4 linked regions of the Macaca fascicularis genome follow. The protein of the gene in region 4 interacts with the protein of the main gene of each other region in a pairwise test. Links are inferred from orthologs where the notes say so. Each region holds a gene or a part of one and is shown on either strand. Other genes may lie near its edges.

What was found.
Region 1: the proteins of KLHL2 (region 4) and TXNDC12 interact in binary tests that used the Homo sapiens proteins (3 or more experiments, as listed by UniProt). The two-hybrid records come from large-scale screens. The link is inferred for Macaca fascicularis from reciprocal best matches to the Homo sapiens genes KLHL2 and TXNDC12.
Region 2: the proteins of KLHL2 (region 4) and CUL3 interact in binary tests that used the Homo sapiens proteins (3 or more experiments, as listed by UniProt). The two-hybrid records come from large-scale screens. The link is inferred for Macaca fascicularis from reciprocal best matches to the Homo sapiens genes KLHL2 and CUL3.
Region 3: the proteins of KLHL2 (region 4) and BCAM interact in binary tests that used the Homo sapiens proteins (3 or more experiments, as listed by UniProt). The two-hybrid records come from large-scale screens. The link is inferred for Macaca fascicularis from reciprocal best matches to the Homo sapiens genes KLHL2 and BCAM.

Annotation. Positions count from the first base shown.
Region 1 is NC_088390.1:87,631,191-87,635,975, reverse strand, and holds TXNDC12 (thioredoxin domain-containing protein 12), read right to left. Parts: upstream 2,934-4,785; 5' UTR 2,836-2,933; coding exon 2,317-2,835; 3' UTR 1,713-2,316; downstream 1-1,712. UniProt on the Homo sapiens protein: Protein-disulfide reductase of the endoplasmic reticulum that promotes disulfide bond formation in client proteins through its thiol-disulfide oxidase activity.
Region 2 is NC_088386.1:120,532,512-120,538,417, forward strand, and holds the start of CUL3 (cullin-3), read right to left. Parts: upstream 4,013-5,906; 5' UTR 3,645-4,012; coding exon 3,579-3,644; intron 1-3,578. UniProt on the Homo sapiens protein: Core component of multiple cullin-RING-based BCR (BTB-CUL3-RBX1) E3 ubiquitin-protein ligase complexes which mediate the ubiquitination and subsequent proteasomal degradation of target proteins.
Region 3 is NC_088393.1:52,840,676-52,846,510, reverse strand, and holds the start of BCAM (basal cell adhesion molecule), read right to left. Parts: upstream 4,013-5,835; 5' UTR 3,991-4,012; coding exon 3,909-3,990; intron 1,876-3,908; coding exon 1,754-1,875; intron 620-1,753; coding exon 391-619; intron 305-390; coding exon 234-304; intron 1-233. UniProt on the Homo sapiens protein: Transmembrane glycoprotein that functions as both a receptor and an adhesion molecule playing a crucial role in cell adhesion, motility, migration and invasion.
Region 4 is NC_088379.1:170,206,974-170,212,234, forward strand, and holds part of KLHL2 (kelch-like protein 2), read left to right. Parts: intron 1-3,324; coding exon 3,325-3,522; intron 3,523-3,936; coding exon 3,937-4,038; intron 4,039-5,261. UniProt on the Homo sapiens protein: Substrate-specific adapter of a BCR (BTB-CUL3-RBX1) E3 ubiquitin ligase complex that mediates the ubiquitination of target proteins, such as NPTXR, WNK1, WNK3 and WNK4, leading most often to their proteasomal degradation.

The DNA of each region.
Region 1 (4,785 bases), on a different chromosome or scaffold from region 4:
AGTCCCAGCGACATGGGAGGCTGGGGCAGGAGGATGGCTTGAGCCCAGAAAGTTTGAGGCTGTAGTGAGCTATGGTCGCGCCACTGCACTCCAGCCTGGGTGACAGAGCGAGACTCCGTCTCAAAACAAAATTTTTTTTGATAAGCATTGCCAAGTTCCTCTCCATAAAGATCGTTGCCCCAAGTCACACTTGCGTCACAGGGTGCCACGGTGCCTGCTCCCTCGTGCTCTGCCTGGCACACGTGCAGCACACTTTTTGGTCTTTACAGGTTCAATATGTAACAAAAGATATCTGACTGTACTACTTTTTAGTTTTTTACTTTTTACTTTTTATTTTGTTTTTTTCTTTTTCTTTTTTGAGATGAAGTTTCACTCTTGTACCCCAGGCTGGAGTGCAATGGTGCGATCTCGGCTCACAGCAATCTCCGTCTCCCGGATTCAAGCAATTCTCCTGCTTCAGTCCCCAGAGTAGCTGGGATTACAGGTGTGCACCACCATGCCCAGCTAATTTTTGTATTTTTAGTAGAGACAGGATTTCATTATGTTGGCCAGGCTGGTCTCAAACTCCTGACCTCAAGTGATCCGCCCGCCTCGGCCTCCCAAAGTGCTGGGATTACAGGCGTGAGCCACTGGCGTGACTGCAATTTTTAAAAATAAAGCTTTTATGTTAGTATAATTTTAAATGTATAGAAAACTTGGAAAGTGCAGGGTGTTCCCCTATACCCCACCCAGTCTCCGCTATTTGAATATCTTACATTATGATGGGACATGTGTACAATTGACAAGTCATTTTTTTTTTTTTTTTTTGAGACGGAGTCTCGCTCTGTCGCCCAGGCTGGAGTGCAGTGGTGCGATCTTGGCTCACTGCAAGCTCCGCCTCCCGGGTTCACACCATTTTCCTGCCTCAGCCTCCCGAGTAGCTGGGACTACAGGTGCCCACCACCTCGCCTGGCTAGTTTTTTGTATTTTTTTAGTAGAGACGGGGTTTCACCGTGTTAGCCAGGATGGTCTCGATCTCCCGACCTCGTGATCCACCCATCTCGGCCTCCCAAAGTGCTGGGATTACAGGCTTGAGCCACCGCGCCCGGCCGACAAGTCATTATTGATAAATCACTGACTAAAGTCCACACTTTACTTGTATTTTTGCAGTTTTTACCCGTTGTCCTTTTCTGTCCCAGGATCCCACATGATTTTTTTTTTTTCCTTTTAAAGTTTTATTAAAGTTTAATGGAACAATATTTTATCTCTTTTTTTGTTAATGCCAGTACAAAAATACAGTTGATGACTTGACAAAATGGCTACACGTAGGGCTTGAAGGTTTGAGTTTCTCCAACAGTAACAAGGGAAAACATGCTTCCACCTGGAGCAGAGTCCAAGCACACAGCCAGTCCTGCACACGCATATGTGCAAACAGAGAAACCCAAGCGTGAGAAAAGGAAAGGGGTTGTAGAAATTTGCGAAGCAGGCCGGGCGCGGTGGCTCACGCCTGTAATCCCAGCACTTTGGGAGGCCGAGGCAGGCGGATCACAAGGTCAGGAGATCGAGACCACAGTGAAACCCTGTCTCTACTAAAAATACAAAAAATTAGCCGGGCGCGGTGGCGGGCGCCTGTAGTCCCAGCTACTCAGGAGGCTGAGGCAAGAGAATGGCGTAAACCCAGGAGGCGGAGCTTGCAGTGAGCCGAGATCGCGCCACTGCACTCCAGCCTGGGCGACAGAGCGAGACTCCGTCTCAAAAAACAAAACAAAACAAAACAAAACAAAAAAAAGAAATTTGCGAAGCAGCCCACAATTATTCCCAGAAGGAAAAAGGGAAAAAGCAGGCTACCCCCTTGATAGGGGGTAGAATTAGTGATTTACACTTAGAATTTGTTGTTGTTGTTGTTGTTGTTGTTTAATGATAAGCTATTTCTGCAATTTTAACATTGTAGAAAAGATGCTACTAGTCTTCTTTTACCACTAAGGTGAGTAAAGTGGGAGGAAATGGGAAAAGACTCAAATACTTAAGTGCGAGGAGTAAACCTCCAAGTGGCTCAAGTTTTGTGTCAGAAGGTTTCATTTTTTACATTCAATGACAAATTGACATTTAGGTGAGAGGGAAAAAGAGAAGAAAGTCTGCCGCTCTCTGCTGGATCCACAAACATGCAGACCAGCTTGTGTTAGCAGAACTCTTCCACAGTGAGAGCACTCCTTCCAGTGTAGGCAGGAATGAGGTTTCCTGGTCGGCTTAATTGTTCTAGATGATTCCTCAATATTCCCTCCCCTGCTGCATTCCTTCCAGAACACTAACTCTGATGAAAGAAGGGGCACATTCATGTTACAATTTATCTTCAAGATGTTTCCTTCTGAAGGCATCACCCGTCAGCCTTTCCTGAGCTTCCTTCATCCCCTGAACAACTTGCTCGGCACTGATGTAGAAATACTTGTAGCTGGGGTTTCCATTCTCATTGATGATTTCAGGATGCACCTTGCCACTGGGATCCAGAAAAAGGATTCGTGGAATATAACCCCCGTCTGGGCTGAAATCTTCATCTTTGGGTTCCTCTTCATCCTCAAGATTTACCATAACAAAATTATGGGAGAGTTCTGAAATTTCTGTAGATTCTGCAAATTTGGGCTTTAGAGCTTTGCAAGCTCCACACCAGGATTTATGAATAATCACCATCAGGGGCAGTCCACTGGCAGCTGCTTCTTTCTTCCCATCTTCCAGTGTCCTCCAATGAATATGATCTCCAAAACCCTTTCCAAGCCCATTATGTCCATCAGAGGAGATGACGAGGAGCAGGAAACTGAAGCCCAGCAAACAGGTGGCCCCGAGACGAGGCCGCGAATCCATGGCAGTAGGTGCGCGGGGCCACGGGGCTGAGCGGACGGAGGGCCGGAGTCCCAGCAGACGGTCCACACCGTTCCCCGAGCGCGGCTCAGCACAACCCCGATCCCACATGATTTTTAGGCTGTGGGTCTCAGGCTCGTTTGGGCTGTGAGTTTCTCAGACTCTCCTTGTTTTTAATGACCTTCGAGTTTTGGGGAGAGCTGGTCAGGGATTTTACAGAATGGCCCCTGTTGGACTTGCCTGATACTTTTCTCGTGATCAGACCGTGGGGTGGTTTTAGGAGGAAGACCACAGAGGTAAAGTGCTCTTCTCACCCCATCCTGTCTGCGGTCCACATTGTCCCTGTGACCTCTCACTGGTGGTGCTGCTGGCCTTGGTCCCCTGGCCGAGGTGGAGGGTCAGGCTTCCCTGTGAAGTGGCCCGTCCCCTGTGTTCTCTGGCAGGAAGTCGCTTTGCTGAGCCCACACGGAAGGGGTGGGGAGTTTCGCTCGCCCTCCTTTAGAGACGAGCATCTATACAAGTTATTTGGAATTCTTCTACACAGGAGATTTGTCTGTTCACCCTCATTTGTAATTTTTTTTTTTTTTTATTTGAGACAACATCTCACTCTGTTGCCCAGGCTGGAGTGCAGTGGCATAATCTCGGCTCACTGCAAACTCTGCCTCCTGGGTTCAAGCGATTTTCCTGTCTCAGCCTCCTGAGTACCTGGGACTACAGGTGCACGCCACCACACCTGGCTAATTTTTGTATTTTAGTAGAGATGGGGGTTTCACCATGTTGTCCAGGCTGGTCTCAAACTCCTGACCTCAAGTGATCTGCCTGCCTCAGCCTCCCAAAGTGCTGGGATTACAGTTGTGAGCCACCGCACCTGGCCCCACTTATTAATTTTTTCAATCATTTATTATAGTGGACTCATGGATATTTATTTACACTTCGAGTTATTATTCAATACTAGTTGGCTTATTTTGTTGCTCTCATTGTCGCAGCTTTGGCCACTGGGAACTTCAGGTGGCTCTTGCATCCCTGTGTCATTGCCCATCACTTTGTCTTGTGAGCACGTCCTTATTTCTGGCCCTATAAACTGCTCCAGCCTCATCTTGTCTCTTTCCTTGTCCAGTCCTAGAATCAGCCATTTCTGCAAGAAGCCCCGGTTCTTTTTCTTGGAGAGTGGTCTTAGAAGGCCAAGGTCTGGGAGCCGGGTGTGCTCGTCACTACTGGGCTGTTTCTGGTCTTCTCAGCCAACAGAGCAAGGAAGCGTGTAGTGTATGTCAGCGGGTGTGTAATCTACACACTGTCTATACATAGTAACCATTGGTGTCCTGGGTCATACTGATGTCTCTACCTCTAGTGGAGCCTCTTGCCCCCCCGCACTTGCTGATTGTAACCTCCCCTCCAGCAGTGAGGATGCGGCCCCATCGTCTGCTGTCCCTGGTTTAGCTCCCGTGTGTGTGTAAGGTGTGTAAGGTGCTGTCACAGTGAATAACCCAAACCCCATGGGAAGAACACCACCAGTGCTGTGCCATGCTCTGGGACAGCCCCTCTGCACGGGCTCCACTCCTGCCCAGGGCTACTCGGGACAGCTCCTCTGCCTCTAGGCTGACGGGCCCCACTCCTGCCCAGGGCTACTCGGACAGCACCTCGCCCTCCACCTCTGATTGTATTTCTAACTTACCATCTCCTGTGAGTGAGGCTGAACATCTTTTATTTTCTTTTTCTTTTTTTTTTGAGATGGAGTCTTGCTCTGTTGTCCAGACTGGAGTGCAGTAGCGCAACCTTGGCTTACTGCAACCTCCGCCTCCCAGTTCAAGCGATTCTCCTGCCTCAGCCTCCTGAGTAGCTGGGATTACAGGTGTGTGCCACCATGCCCGGCTAACTTTTGTATTTTTTTTTTTTTTTTTTAGTAGAGACGAGGTTTCACCATGGTGGCCAGGCTGGTCTCGAACTCCCAACCTC
Region 2 (5,906 bases), on a different chromosome or scaffold from region 4:
CTCCACCTCAAAAAATAAATAAATAAATAGAGGTGATTTTGTATTAGCTTGATGGTAGTAAGCATGTCAGAATGTATACATTATCAACACATCATGTTGTCCACCTTAAACACAATTTTTCTTTTTTTTTTTTTATGAGACAGAGTCTTACTCTGTTGTCCAGGCTGGAGTACAATGGCATGATCTTGGCTCACTGCAAGCTCTGCCTCCCAGGTTCAAATGATTCTCGTGCCTTTGCTCCCGAGTAGCTGGGATTATAGGTGTGTGATCACCACACCTGGTAAATTTTTGTATTTTTAGTAGAGACAGGGGTTTGCATGTTGGCAAGGCTGGTCTCCAACTCTTAACCTCAGGTGATCTACCCGGCTTGCCTCTCCCAAAGTGCTAGGATTACAGGTGTGAAGGTGTGAACCACCTTCTCCAGCCGAGTGCTTAAGACTTTTGGTGAAACTATAGTTTCCCTTAAATTATAGTAACTATATATCCAAACAACAGATGTAAAATACAGTTATTTTAAAATACGTACATATGTGGATCCATAAACAATTAAGGATGTACATATGTATAACCATAAACAATTTTTTTTTTTGAGACAGTTTTGCTTTTGTTGCCCAGGCTGGAGCGCAATGGCGCTATCTCAGATCACTGCACCCTCGGCCTCACAGGTTCAAGCGATTTTCCAGCCTCAGCCTCCCAAGTAGCTGGGATTACTAGGCATCCACCACCACACCCCGTGATTTTTTTGTATTTTAAGTAGAGATGGGATTTCATCATGTCAGCCAGGCTGGTCTCAAGCTCCTGACCTCAGGTGATCCACCTGCCTCCGCCTCCCAAAGTGCTGGGATCACAGGCGTGAGCCACTGCACCCAGCCATATTTTTTCCTTATGGCATACTATGCATTAACTACTTTTGACCAGCAACTCATGCAGTCTGTAGTTATGCACAAGACTGCTAATCTGGAAGACAGGAATTCTGAAGGTCCATAAGCACACGGTTAACAAGATAAAACTATGAAATACCCTACCACTGAGATATATATATATTTGTAACAAAGGGTCATAAACTATAATAGTTCTTTTCAATGGGAACTACTTATGAATGTTATTAATACTTATTAAACAGTAATGAAAAATTCTTTTAGAAATCAGCAGCTATTAACTACTGAATATCAAAACTAGTCACTTACTTCTGTAAGGTTTTCAGAAAAACCTGCAAAGTCATAGACAGAATGGGTCCAAATTAGCTCATAATCATAACGAAGCTAAAAAAAAAATTAAGTTCCAGTATTATGTGGTAACGTATCACACAACGTTATTATACTAGTCAGCTAAAGGAATAATGAAATTCTCTCCCACCTCTTCTCCCCAACAATATTAGCTCCAGAAGGCAGGGATCTCGGTCTTTCTAGCTATCCTGACAGACACCCAGAACAGTGCCTGGCACATAACATTCAATATTTACTGAACAAATTAAATGATGGCAAAACAGGCAAGAGCAGGGAAACCTGAAGTGGTCAGAGTTTGATTACACATAGATGAACGTACAGCTGGTCAATCAGAACGCCATTCACTTGAGTGAGTTGATGTCAAATTTGAGTTCCTCCACATTTTAGCAAAAAATCTTATTCAGAACGTAAGACTTCAAGAATTGAGTAGTGTAAGGCCGCAAACACTCCTAGAAAATCTGTTGTATAGGCCGGGCGCGGTGGCTCACGCCTGTAATCCCAGCACTTTGGGAGGCCGAGGTGGGTGGATCATCTGAGGTCGGGAGTTCGAGACCAGCCTGACCAATAGGGAGAACCCTCGTCTCTACTAAAAATACGAAATTAGCCGGGTATAGTGGCGCCTGCCTGTAATCCCAGCTACTCAGAGGCTGAGGCAGGAGAACCGCTTTAACCCAGGAGGCGGAGGTTGCTGGGAGCTGAGATCGCGCCATTGCACTCCAGCCTGGGCAACAAGAGCGAAACTGTCTCAAAAAAAAAAAAAAAAAAAGAAAAGAAAAAGAAAACCTGTCGTATAAAACTATTAACTTCATAAAATTCTAAGTAGTTCTAAACTCTAAAGTGATCAGAATTTAGTAGGAAAATTAATATTAATCACAAATTCATAACCCAGCTCTGTGCCCAATCATAAGGGAAAACATACTAGTAAGCTTCGTTAGTACTCTATTGTCAACATTTCTCATGTTTACTTAGAAAAAAGTTCGAAACATTCCAAAAATCTTTAATTATTATCAAAACACTTAATTCTCCTAAATACACCGTACCTATTTACACAAAGCAGAGGTTTTCGCACACTGATTTTAGTATTTATGTTCTTGCAATTTCAGAATTCTGCATGAGCTGTATCCTTTTAAATTTTAGGAATTCAGAGAGGTCCTCATGTTCTCTGAGACTAAATTACTTGACTCAACTGGGGCAATCATATTAATATAAGTATTTTCTCAGGCAACTGCACTTCAGGAAAAGCTCTCTTTAAAAAGTGACAACAAACTTCCCTCTTTCGCCTGCACATCATACGAAGTATTTATGAATCTAAGAAGGGAAGACCAAGATCTTTCTCTAATTTTGTTTTTTAAAATCTTCTGTCCGATTGCTAGTTCGTCTGTCTTGACGTACGCCTTTTATTGTAGCGACATAGGCAAGTATGTCCAGTTTGTTAACAACAATACATTTTAATTGCTTGCCATAGTGTGGACGAACCAGATATGACACCCAAAGTTATACCCTATATGCTAAACACCACAAGGCTACGACACAACGTAATGCCAAAAAAGAAAAGGTTTCTGAACACAACACGTTTGCTGTCACTGAAAGTGATGAAAGAAAGCAACTCTGCAAGGCGACTACACTCATTCTTTGGGCTCCCAAGGCTGAGAAATGGAGAACCAATTGTCCGGTTTGATCTCTGTTGCTTCCTCCCACCCGGCCTTCCTCCGAGTGGCGAGGCAATCCTGCACAACAGTTTGTAAAGTGTTTAGGAGGCTTGTAGGATGAAAGACGCTAGAAATACACCCAATGTTACTAGTTTATGACCACTGAGCATTCCGTGGAACCACTGTCACTGCTTCGGGGGCAGGTTGATGGCACAGCCCCGCCTGGGGAGGGGGGCAGAGTGAGAGGGCAGCCCCTTCATCACCCTACAAGCTAGACTGGGTAATTTTTGAAAGTGTAACGAAACCCCACGTGAAAAGTTCCACACACGCCCCACACAGGGAGGACTTCGCCGCTGCTAACAGCGCCGGAGCCTGGGCCTACAACCCCAGCAACGTGGGGAGGCGTGGGGCGGCCGAGGGGCCCCGGCCGCAGCCGACGCCCGTGGAGCGGCTCAAGAAGCAACTCCCGGACGGGGGCGCGGCGCCAGGCCCGGACTCCCGGCGCGGGGAACGGCCCGGGAGGGCGGCCGCGCCGGGGCCCCGCGCCGCCCGGTTGCCGGGAAGGCTCGCGCCCCGCGGCCGGCGAGCGTGGGGGAGGGGAGGCCGGGCCTGCGGCCTGTTGGGGGACTTCAGCCCGGGCCTCGCGTGCGGCTCTCGGCCCGGCCCCCGGCCCCGGGGTCCCGGACGCCGAGGAGAGACTCACCGGAAAGGCCCGGATCCGCATCTTGGTGTCCTTCCGGCTGCCCGTGCCTTTGCTCAGATTCGACATGGTGCTCGTCCCCTCCCCGGCGGCGGCTTCAGGTCGCGCTCCGCGACGCCGGTGTCACATTTAAGGCGGGCAGGCAGGCGAGGGGCGACGCTGGGGGCGGCGCGGCCCCCGGGCAGGGCTGGGGAGCTGGCCGGCCCCTGGGCAGCCGCGGCGGCGGCGGGGGCGGCGGCTCGGGCTCCGGCTGCTCCGACGCGGCTGGGGGGCTGCGCTGGCGCGGTGGCTCCGCAGGGTCCCCCTCACGCCCGGCTCTGCTCCCTTTATCGCGCTCCTCCGCGATGGCGGCGGCGGCGGCGACGGACAAACATCTCACTGCGCAGGCCGAACGTCGTCCTCCTCCTCCTCCTTCTCCTCCTCCGCCTGAGCGAGACGAGATCCGGCCCAGAGGGTGGAGGGGGGAGGAGGGAGGGAGGAGAGCCGGAGAGTGAGAGATGCCGGGGGAGGGAGGTGGGAGGACGGGAGGGGGAGCCCGGCGGCCGCGGCGGGGACGCTCAGATCTCGCGAGAAGAGAGCGAGCGCGCTGCCCTGGTGGGGCGGGGCGAAGCCCGGGAGCGGGAGGGCGCCACCGGAGGGGAGGAGGGGAACAGGGAATTGAGGGAAGTGGGAGGGACCGGCGGGGCGGGGAAGCGGAAAGGGGGCGTGGCTGAGGGCGGGAGGATTAAGCTGCCTTTTTGAAAGAGGAGCGCCAGGTCCCGGATTCTGGGCGGAGGTGGTTGCTGATTGGTGGAACTCGAGGCGGCGGTTGGGAGGGTCCTGGTCACGTGGGGAGAGTGGGCGGGGGAAGTTCGGAGAGCGGGAGCTGGATTGTAGTGGGCTGGGCCCCACTGAGCTGGGATGGCAGGAGGATAGTCTTGGGGAGTAGCGTGGGGTGCTGGATGCATAACTACGTCCCGAACTGGTTCCTGTGTTTTTCTAGGGCATGTGGGCTAGGGATGGGTACTTGAGCAGAAGCCAGCAACTTGAATGAAGAGTCTGTGCAGGAGATACCTGCAGTGTCGGAAATGACTGTCCTGTATGCTCAACAAGGTATTCGGACTGAGGGTGTACACCACAGCTCTCAGGACTGGAGGGTGGAAATTTAATCTACAGAGTTACCTTAAACTGCATAAACCTCAGGACCTCTTGATTCACTGTTATTTTCTGGTGGACCCAGGGCTTATTAATGTTAAAACCTGTTTTTCATTACCATCAGAATAAACTGACAGCTCCATTAATGAAATGCAGCATTTGGTAAATGATGTTAAGTGGAATGATAGATACCTAACTTTAACCTACCAGATAAATCATTTCTAGCATTACCAAGAGTATTGTAGATTTTTAAAGCCAAAATTACCGTCTGATTCAGTTGCTGTATATTTGAAAAGGTTTTGGCTTTTGGTTTTTGGGGAGAGGCGTTTGGTCGCTTTATAGTCAAAATGTCTAATTTGACTCATCGGTTTTGCTGTCCATTTATTATGAATTGTACTTCCTCATTTACCTACTTGCCCAATTGCTGTTATGTTTGGGTTTCTGACTCTGCAAGGGAATATGTGAGTTCCAACTAAAGTTTGTGTTCTTCCTATTTTAAAGAAGCATCTGTTTGGGGGATGGATAGCTACATTTAGAAGCTGGTATTTTAATACTTTTACATAACAAACTTAATATAAAGTGAAATACACTTATTTGTTGACTATAAGGTTGAATTTGCCCTAAATTAACTTAATCCTGATGTCTAAGCTTTTGAGTGTTGCGCTTAAAGCCCCTTCTTGGTTGAAACACTCCATTGCAAATACCGTATTTTCTTGGGGTTTTTTTTGTGGGAGATTTTTGGAATTGGCTAATTAAAGCAGGAGCTTAAGCAACAATGTTGCTTAAGACAGTATCTGCAAATACTGAAGCTAAAAATAGGTTATCAAGAATTGAGTTGATAAACTAACATTGGGAGAGGCTCTGACTTCAGTGTAAGATAATGTCAGTCTTGAAGAGGAGTTTATAATCTCTATGCTAATTGAACCTCCATTTCCATAACATTATAATATAATAACAATGTTTTTCTCTTGGTTGTACTCTCATATGACCCAGTTTCTTAGTAATGTAAGAATATATGTTCAGAGTAGGGATCTCTGAGGAATCAAAAAAAGAAACCAAAAAAATACATTTTAAAAAAGAATATATGTTCTTGGAGCCATTGTTTGAATCTCAATTCTGCCACTTTGCTAGCTGTGTTGTGCATCCTTTGGGGCATGGAGTTGACAATCCCTAGAATTCCTCATCTGTGAAACGGAG
Region 3 (5,835 bases), on a different chromosome or scaffold from region 4:
GACAGGGTTTCGTTATGTTGGCCAGGCTGGTCTGGAACTCCTGACCTCAGGTGATCTGCCTGCCTCCGCCTCCCAAAATGCTGGGATGAGAGGCATGAGCCACCTCGCCGGGCCTTGCCCATCATCCCTCATTACCCAGGGGTCCCCAGCCCCTCCTCCCTCAGACCCAGGAGTCCAGGGCCCTGTTTTCTCCTCCTCCAGGACCCTGGGACCAAGGTCCACCCGAGAGGTACCTCCTGGGCAGAGTCCTCCATCACAGATAGTATCCCTTTGTTGGGGGAGACCTCAGTGGCCTCTGGCTTTGCTGTGAAAAAGATGTTCACGTCAAAAGCCCCTGCCCTGTGCCCCTCCCTGCCTGCCTCCCTTCGGGGGATGTCTGTGGACACTTACCAAACACGTTGAGCCGTGCAGTGGCCTCAGCAGTGCCTGCCGCCCCTGCCCTCACCACGCACACGTAGTCTCGCTCGTCGCCCACCTGGGCTTCAGCCAGTACCAGGCTCCCCTGGGAGTCCAGCTGGTATGGGGGACTGCGGCCCCGGGTGTCGTGCATTGTGACCTGGAGCTCAGAGCCCTGCATCTCGGCGGAGGCCAGGCGGGGGCGAGCTCCCGAGCGGTCGGTCTGCGGGCACACGGGAGTCTCTCAGCTCCTGGTGTCCCAGCGCTCCTCAGTCTCTCTCTCTCTCTCTCTGGGCCCTTTCTCTCTGCAGCTCCTGGCTCTGCCTCTTTTCCTCTTGTTATGGGTTTCCCTGGTCCCTCTGTCCCTCTGTCCCTCTCCACCTTCTGCCCCCATTCCCTATCAGTTCTTGATTTTTCCTGTCTCCTTTTCTCCATCTCATTCCAGTTCCATCCCTCTTCCTCCCCATCTCTCCCTCTCTGCTTGTCTCTCAAGCAGAGAGAGACAAGTCACCTGGCTGGAGTGCAGTGGCTTGATCTCGGTTCACTGCAACCTCCGCCTCCCAGGTTCAAACGATTCTCCTGCCTCAGCCTCCCGAGTAGCTGGGACTACAGGCACGCACCACCACGCCCGGCTAATTTTTGTATTTTTAGTAGAGACAGGGTTTCACCATGTTAGTCAGGACGGTCTTGATCTCTTGACCTTGTGATCCACCCACCAAGGCCTCCCAAAGTGCTGGGATTACAAGTGTGAGCCACTGCGCCTAGCCTTCTCTCCTCGTTAGTCCTCCCTGACCCCTCGAGTCTCCTGCTTTCTTTTTTTCTTTTTCTTTTTGAGATGGAGTTTCGCTCTTTTTCCCCAGGGTGGAGTGCAGTGGCACGATCTTGGCTCACTGCAACCTCCGCTTCCCAAGTTCAAGCGATTCTCCTACCTCAGCCTCCTGGGTAGCTGGGACTACCGTATTTTTTATTGTATTTTTGTAGAGACGGGGTTTCGCCATGTTGGCCAAGCTGGTCTCGAACTCCTGACCTCAGGTGATCCACCCGCCTGGGCCTCCTAAAGTGCTGGGATTACGGGCATGAGCCACCGCACCCAGCCTCTCCTGCTTTCTTGGTGTCTGTCTCTGTTCTCTCTCTCAAGAGCCCACAGTCCAGAGCAGGTCAACGTCATTCTAGACTCAGCTGTGCCCAGACATGGGGCACCTTGCAAATCCCTTCTCCTCAGTGGGACTCAGTGACCCCATCTGTAACAAGGGGTGTGGCTTGGTGGATCTCTACAGACCTTAGGCACTGATGAGAGAATGAACATTTGCTGCCCTGCTGTGCCCTGACTCCAGGCCCCCCAGCCCCAAGCACTCACAAGGAACCATTCCAGCACATAATGGTCATGGGCTCCCGTAGGGGTGCAGTTCAGAATGACAGACTTTCCTCGCATCACCTCCACCAGCGGTGGCACAGACAAGCGCACCTCCGCCTGGGCATCTGCAAGAGGGCATCTGAGCTATTGTCCACCACACCAACAGGAAGAGCCCTCCAGACAGGGTCCTGTCTCCCCCAGGACCCAAGCGTTCAGGTCCCAGCCCCTCCTCCCTCAGACCCAGGAGTCCAGGTTCCAGCTCCTCCTTCCTCAGATCCAGGAGTCTGGGCCCCTGTCTCCTCCTCCCTCAGACCCAGGAGTCCAGGTTCCAGCTCCTTCCTCAGATCCAGGAGTCTGGGCCCCTGTCCCCTCCTCCCTCAGACCCAGGAGTCCAGTCCCCCAGCTCCTCCTCCCTCAGATCCAGGAGTCCAGGCCCCCAGCCCCTCCTCCCTCAGACCCAGGAGTCCAGGCCCCCAGCCCCTCCTCCCTGAGATCCTTTCGCCCTCCATCCCTTCTCCCTGCATCTCTGGGTCTCAAATCCAACCCTCCCTGCACTTGCAGAGCTCAGGGCTCCTCCTCTGGGCTGCACAGGGCCCTGGGGTAATATTGCACCGGCCCTTGCTTCTCCCAACAGAGCACATGCCACCCCCCAGGGCAGGGCCAGGCCTGGCTCAGTCATTTGCCTCCAGCACCCTGGGCAGGGCCACCTCCATGATGATGGATAAATGTCTCTCTCCATCCCTGTCTCCACCTCTGCGTGTGTCTCTCCTCTTGGGTCTTCATCTCTGTCCCTGTCTCTGCCTCTCTCTCTGCACCTGCACCGTTCAGTCCCTGGGTCTCTTCCTCTTTCCCATGAGTGAGGGGCTGGGGTGTGGGCTGCGGCTGGGCCCGGAGCTTAGGCGGGATAGGTGTGTGGGGGTGGTGAGGGGGGACAGGGCTGGGCAGGTTTCAGGAATGTGGGAGGGACAGGCTGGCTGAGACCTGCCCGGCCTGGAGCCAGAGCCCCCAACCGCCTCTTGGCCCCCCTCTCCGTTTGATACAACAGCAAACGGGATATAAGGTGAGTCATCGTGCAACAGGATAAGGTTGAGGCCCAGGATCTTGGGAAGCTGAGTGCCTGGACTCCTGGGATCAGAGGGAAGAGGAGGCTGGGGCCTGGGTGGAGTAGTTCTTGTAGAAAAACCACCACCCTCCCTCACCCTCTGGTCTGGCATCCTGGCATCAGCTCTCAGTGCTTCTTAGATACTCCCTTCCCTTCTCCGCTCAATCTGGCCCAGCCCCGCCCCTGGGGACCCACTACTGACCATGAGTGTGCCAGGGGCCTGGATTCCCAGGCACTCACCTCTGGCCCCAGCTTGTCCCCAGGGAGGGGTGATGGGGGCCAGGCTGGTGCCTAAGGCTGGGTCTGAGCTGCAGACAGCAAGTGGAGGCAGAGAGGTCCTCTCTCATCCCCAATCTCTCTCACATCTCTCTGTCCCTCTGTCCCCAGCCCCCCACCCAGGGCCTCCTCTCCTTCTATCGCCATGCCCATGCAGGTGTGTAAATGTAGCTGAGGCCCCAGGAAGGGGGCCTGTCACTTGGAAACACTTTGTTCCACTGTCACTGCCCAGGGCTGGTGCTCCAGCCCTTTCCTGAGGGAGGCGGGTTCTTTATACTGGACTCTGGAAACTCCTAAATATGTACGGATCGCTGGTGTGGGGAAACATGGTCCTCGCTTCTCTAAGGGGTCCCTGGACCTCTTAAAACTTGAGAACCTTTGAGGGAGGAAGCCCTGGGGTTTTGATCCTCTGTGCCCTGGGGGAAGCCATTCTAGCCACTGGAGGCCTGGACTCCTGGCTCTGAGGAAAGAGGGCTGGGGGCCCAAATTCCAGGGTCTGAGGAAGGAGGCAGGTGGGACGCAGATTCCAGGGTGCTGAGTGGAAAGGGGGCTGACTTCTCTAGTTGTCTCTGATCCACCGCCTGGGTATCCCCAGCTCTCTTGCCTGGCTGTCCCCAGATCTCTCACTGGAAGGTGTACCTTCCAACACTCCCATATTCCTCCTTCTTGGGGTCCCCACATTTTGCTTCCTGGGGTCAGGGTAAAGCCCTTTCTCTTTGCTTTCCCGGGGTCCCCAGGGGCCTCCCCCGAGTCCCACCTTGCCCTCAGCCCGAGCCATACCTGGGTGCGCAGCCAGCAGGACTGCGAGCAACAGCAGCCGCGGGGCCCCGCGCGTCCGGGCCGGTGCGTCCGGGGGCTCCATGTTCACGGCGGCGGCGGCGACTGAGCCCCGGCTGCAGCTCGGCCGCAGCGGGGCTGGGAGCTAGAGGCCCCGCCCCCGGCAGCCCCGCCCCGCCCCGCCCTCCAGGCCCCCCTCGTCCCCACCAAGTCCGGGCGCGGGGCCAGGACCTCCCACTGCCCGGAGGGGACCTCCCAGTGCACGGGGCCAGGCTCGGGGCTCCTCCGCCCCCAAGCCCAGGACTGTCCAGGCTTACTGACCAGCGCCCGCAGCGGGGAGGCCTGATGGACCAGTGTAGCCGGTGACCCGAGCTGGGATCTCACCAGGCAATCGCGGACCCTCTCCCCGTTATTCTGACCAGGGGCCCTGGGGACTCGTCCCCACTGTGACCAGCAGCCTAGGCTGGCATTGTCGATTTTAACCAGCCGACGCCACTGCAACCGGTGGCCTGCGATGGCCTCTCCCAGTGTAACTAATGGCCCCAAGTGTGCCGTCTGAGTGGCCTGCACTGGCCTCTCCCAGTCCAACCAGTGACCCCCGCAGCCTGACCAGTGGCCCCCAGCAGCTGTTCCCAGTATGCCCGGAGACGTTTTCCCCTGTGGTCAGTGCTCTGGTTCCTCGTCTAACCAGTAGCCTGGAATCAACCAGTTTAATCTTTTATCTTCAATGGTCTTCAAATCCAGTTCCTCCTAGACCGCTTTGATAATGGGGCTGGGGGTGGGGTATGGGGTGCCCTCTCGCTTGCTTACCCGTGGAAGGCCCTCCCACTCTTCCCCCTGTCCAGGGAATCCCAGGAATGCCACCCTCCCTTCCTCCTTCCCGCTCTCTCCTTCATTCCCTCCCAACCTTGTGGGGAGGGGAGGAGTCAGGCTGGCCGGAGCAGGTGAGGAGGCCAGGGGAAGAAGCCAGGGCACCTGCGGGAAGGGGGAGGAGTCCAGCCACTGCTAGGAAGGGTGGGTCCCAGGTCCGACCGCCCAAGGCCCCTACAGGCCAGGTCAGACTGGGACAAAACCCCCCACTAGATGTCACTAGTTGCCCGGGACAGTGGTCAGAACGTGGGAGGGTGGGGGGTCACTGGCCACACTGGGAGAGGTTCCCCAGGCTTCTCATCAGCCTGGGGGTTGGGGTAGCCCTGGATCTGGGCTTTGCCTGCTCCAATACACAGAGAAGGCTTGGATTACAGGTCAGCCTGGGAGTTATTAGATTGGTCAAGGTTACTTTATGTATTGGTCACACAGGAGAGCAACGTGGTTTTTTTTTGTTTTGTTTTTTTGTTTTTTTTTTTAAGAGGGTCTCGCTCTGTCACCCAGGCTGGAGTGCAGTGGCGCAATCATAGCTCACTGATACCTCGACCGCCTTGGCTCAAGTGATCCTTCCACTTCAGCCTCCCAAGTAGCTGGGACTACAGGCTTGTGCTACGATGTCCAGCTAATTTTTGTATTTTTTTTTTTTTTTTTTTTTGTAATAGAAACAGGGTATTACTATGTTGCCAAGGCTGGTCTCCAACTCTTGGGCTCAAGTGATCCTCCCGCCTTCTAAAGTGCTGGGATTACAGGCATGAGCCACTGCGTCCATCCTAGGGAGCAACTGTTACATCGGAAAAGATTACCTTTAGGATTACCTGTACCATCCCCTCCTCCAGGAAGTCCCCTCTGCCTTCCCTGGCTGGGTCAGATTCCCCCTCTGGGCTCCCCAGCCTCAGCCCTGCATGCTCTGAGGGTCCCTGGCTGGGGACTGTGAGCCTGTGAGTGCAGGGCAGGACCAGGGATGTCTTGATCACTGTGGTGAGCTAAGGGCCCCTGCCCTGGGTACCCCACCCAGCACAAGACCAGACACAGTGCAGGTGCTCAGGGAAGGTTTGCAAGGCAC
Region 4 (5,261 bases):
ATAGCCGGGTATGGTGGCAGGCGCCTGTAATACCAGCTACTCAGGAGGCTGAAGCAGGAGAATCGCTTGAATCCGGGAGGCGAAGGTTGCAGTGAGCTGAGACCTCACCACTGCACTCCAGCCTAGGCAACTCCGTCTCAAAAAAAAAAAACAAAAAACTTTCTGTTGCAATAATTTTACTTACAGAAGAGTTGCAAAGATAGAACAAATAATTCTGGTATATTCTTTCCCTAGTGTTAACATCTTACTGTGATACAGTTATCAAAACTAGAAATTAGCATTGGCATATTAATAGTAACTGAAATACAGACTTCGTTCGTATTTACCATTTTTTCCATTGATTCCCTTATGCTGTTCCAGGATCCTACTTTGCGTTTAGTTGTCATATCTTCTTATCTGAGATAGTCCCAGAGTCTTTTCTTATCTTTTATGCCCTTAATTCTTTGAAGAGGACTGGTCAGATATTTTGAAGAATATCTCTCAAGCTGGATTTGTCTGATATTTTCCCACGGTTAAATTGACTTAGTATGATTATTTCTTGTGACGGTAACCTTGTTCTCTTGGTTAAGGTGGTATCTGCCAGGTTTCTACCCTATGACAAAAGTATATTTTGAAAACATTTGTTGTTCTAGTACCTTTACAGTTTTATTTATAAATACATCTCTCTCTCTTAAGATATCTGGGCTGTATTTTAGTCTAAGATGTAAGGTATAGATTTTGGCTTTTAATGGCTAGTCAGTTGTCCAAATACCCCTTATTGACTTATCCGTCTCCATTCATTTGATGAAATGCTGCCTTTATCATGTATTAGATTTCCACATTTACTTGGTTGTATTCTAAATTTCCTGTTCTCTTCCATTGATTTGTCTTGCCTATTCATGCATCAAGACATAGCCACTTTTAGTTACTGTGCTTTATAATATGTTTTACTATGTTGTGAAACTAGTGATAAGACTCCTGTCTTCTTTTATATCCTTCAGTAGATTTTTAACACTTTCTTCCAATGGTCCTCCGTGTTTCTTGGCAAGTTTATTTTTAGGTATTTTATCTACTGGAAATGGAGTTTTGTATGCCATTTACTAACTGATTTCTTAATTCATATCTGATTCCTATTATAGTTCCCTTTACTTTGGGGCCATATGTCATTTGACTCAATTTATTGCAAAATGTATTATTTACTTATTGGATAACTATGAATACATTTTATCTTCATCATGCCCTCTTCCCTCTCCCTCCTTCAGATTAGAACCAATGTCCTTAACTGTGCAAACTTGGCCAAATTTTAATAAACTGTGTAATTAAACTTCTGGGCACTTCAGTTTCCTTATCATACTTCTTTTAGTTCAGTCCCTTCTCCAGACCCAGAGCTTTTGGTGGGGGGCACTTCATAGATTGATTCATTTATTTTCTTCTTCTCTGTGACCTAAAATTCCCTAAAACTTGGTAAGCATACTACATTACTTCTAAGAGATGGCATATTTGTTGTGTTATTTTGTGTGTAGAGAAAGGAAAATGAAAATTGCAATGGGCAAAATTCCCACAAGGAACATTCCCTGGAGTTATGATTTTGGGATACAGGATTGTTTTATGCTGAAACATGCTGCCTGCTATGTTGCTGCTCACTAGTCTCCAGGCCCTCTTAGGAGGTCTATTAAATTCTGTGCTAGCAGGGGGCCAAAACAGGCAACTTCATTTGAACTGGAAAGGTCTTGTTGCCATATGGAGGACTGCATTTCCATGTATTTTTAAGGGGGTGGGGGAATAAAGCACCAGAGGGTAAGACAATAAGGGATAGAGGTGCATCTCTTGCCTGATGACATCTTTAAAACATTGAGCTCGTCAAACATATCTGGTGATTCCACTTCTCCCTACAGGGATTCAGAGAACTGTGAGCCACATTGCCTGCCCTCAGGCTGGCACAGGGACATAAACATAGAACTAAGAACAATAAAAATTTGAACAATTTAAAGTAATTGTATTATAGACTCTGTACATTTATTAAACCTTAAGTGCACTATATAGATGTTATTTTCTATAGGGGTTCAGGAGCTGGACTAATCCCTTTTAGGCTAAAGTAGACCGGGAAGGCATCACAGAGAATGTGGAACTTTAACTGAGGATTCAGAGTTAAAGAGAACAGAGTGGATGGTGATAGGAGCCTGTCCGATTAGGGCAGCAGCATGAAAAAGTTGAGAAAAGTGAAAAGACGGTTGAAACCTGAGTCTAGCAGTCCAGTTTCTCCATTCACTGATTCTGTAATATCTGTTTAGCCCAGGGATCAGCAGACTTTCTCTTGAAGGACCAGAGAGTAAGTATTTTAGGCTTTGTGGTTATATGGTCTCTGTCACAGCTTCTTATCTACTGCTATAGTGCAAAACCAGCCATATGGAAGTGAATAGGTGGGACAGTGTTCCAATAAAACTATATTTATGGATGGTGAAATTTGAATTTCATATAGCTTTTTACAAGTCATGAAATATTATTCTTTTGGTTGTTTTTCAGCCATTTAAAAATATAAAAACCATGCTTAGCTTATGGGTTCTACAGAAATAGTCTGGTGGACCAGATTTAGCCTGTAGGCTGTAAATTTGCCGACCCCTGATTTAGCCCACTAACGTGATAAACTAGGAGTGCGTTATGCAAATAAATTATAAGTGTTTAGAGTTTCATTCTAAGAATATCCACTAGAAGATCCAAAATTGAAAGCTATGGGAGGTGAGTACAGGTTCAAATAGTTGGAAAATAATGGCTCATTATTTAAGCTTGTAAATTGATATTTGAAAAAGAATGAGTCAAAATGGTACTTTAGCCCATGCCATTGCATCTTTTAATAACCTTAGAAAGAAGGCTGGGCGCAGTGGCTCACGCCTGTAATCCCAGCACTTTGGGAAGCCAAGGTGAGCTGATCATGAGGTCACGAGAGCGAGACTACAGTGAAACTCCATCTCTACTAAAAATACAAAAAATTAGTCGGGCATGGTGGCGGGCACCTGTAGTCCCAGCTACTTGGGAGGCTGAGGCAGGAGAATGGCGTGAACCGGAGAGGTGGAGCTTGCAGTGAGCCGAGATCACGCCACTGCACTCCAGCCTGGGCGACAGAGTGAGACTCCGTCTTAATAATAATAATAATAATAACCTTAGACAGACAATTTAGTGATTGGATGTTCTTGCAAATGAATAGCATTTTCAAGGATTTATTTACTCAGGCTCCTCCTAAGAGTAGCATGTTCTGACAACAGCTATAGACTTACTAGAAAGCAATCTTTGGATATTGGTGATAGTCGAGTTGCACATTGATCTGTAAATGCTGTACTCCTTTTGCAGGCATGGTCTACATGGCTGGACTTGTTTTTGCTGTTGGTGGCTTTAATGGTTCATTAAGAGTTCGTACTGTAGATTCTTACGACCCTGTGAAGGACCAGTGGACCAGCGTTGCTAACATGAGAGACCGGAGAAGCACTTTGGGAGCTGCTGTGTTAAATGGATTGTTATACGCTGTGGGAGGCTTTGATGGGAGTACAGGTAATTTCCTTTTCATCTCTTCTACATTGCTGCTAAAATTAACGTAGTAGTCATGTTTATGGAATAAACCGTGGCATCATTAAGGCATATGTGAGGTTTTAACTGGTATTTAAAGATAAATTTAAAATTTTATCAAGAATTTCCTTAAATGATATGAGTGCTGAGTATATAAATTTTCTTTCTTATGCATCAGTATCAGTCATCAAGTTTTAAAAGCTTATAAATGTCAGTAGCTTAGGTGGGAGCCTTCTGGAAAACAAGCTGTTCCTGTTTTTCATGTAATTGATGTGTTTACATTCTGCCATTTTCTTCTCTTAATTTTAGCCCAATGTTACATACCTGAAGTATTTTTCCATATATATGAACTATTGACTTTTTTTAGAGAAGGAAATGAAGACTTGTGTTTTATTATAGGTCTATCATCTGTGGAAGCATACAACATAAAGTCTAATGAGTGGTTTCATGTTGCTCCCATGAACACAAGGAGGAGCAGCGTTGGTGTGGGTGTTGTTGGAGGTAGGTGCTGACAGTTCTTTCAGGTACATATGGCTTTTTGATCCTTGAGAGTGATTCTTCCAATAATCAAAACATTAGTTTTCTGAATGGGCAAGCTAATTATAATTTTAAAAAGAAAATCGTAATTACTGTAAAATTTCAATTATCCTCTTTTCAAAACTAGCTTCTCTATGTAAATCAACCTATATAAGGCCTTTTCTCTCCCTCTCCATCCCTCTCCCTTTATCCTCTTCGTGTGTGTGTGTGTGTGTGTGTGTGTGTGTGTGTGTGTGTGTGTGTGTGTGTGTGTGTGTGTTTGACTTATATAACAGCAGTCCCCAACCTTTTTGGCACTGAGGACCAGTTTTGTGGAAGACAATTTTTCCACGGACAGGGGTGGGTTGCGGGGCTGGTTTTGGGATGAAACTGTTCCACCTCAGATCATCAGGCGTTAGTGTGTCATAAGGAGCGCACAACCTAGGTTCCTCACGTGTGCATTTCAAGATAGGGTTCGCACTTCTGTGAGAATCTAATGCCTCTGCTGATCTGACAGGAAGCAGAGCTCAGCCGTAATACTCGCTCACCTGTCACTCACCGCCCGGTTCCTAACAGGTTCCAGACAGGTACTGGTCCATGGCCTGCGGTTTGGGGACTGCTGCTATGTAAGACTGTCAGCTGATTTTAATACAGTTGTTTGGGGGGAACAATTCAGGTGACATAAATGTGTAATTTTGTATCTGGAGAAGGGCTGTTTAACATTTAAGGGATGGATTGCCACAGTTATTTATTTATATCCTACTTTGTCTCCCAACAGAAGTTAAGGAAGGCTCTAAGTATTAATGTTTTGTTTTTTTTTTAATTGACTTGGGCAAATTTGCAGGTTTCCACCCCCTCCTCATCATATGTGTAATTCTCTGCACTTAGAAAAAAACAGCTTTGTTGAGATATAATCCATGTACCATACAATTCACCCATTTCGTGTATACAGTTCATTGTGCATCCATCACTACAATTCATTTTTTAAAACATTTTTATTATCCTCTAAAAGCAATCCTGCTTCGCTTAGCTCTTACTCCTCTCCTACCCAACCTTCAGCAACTGCTAGTCTGCTTTCTATCACTTAGAGATTTGCCTCTTCTGAACATTTTAGTTGTACGGTATGTGATCTTTGGTGACTCACTTCTTTCGCTTAGGGTGATGTTTTCAAGATTTGTTTATACTGAGGCATTTTTTAGTACTTCATG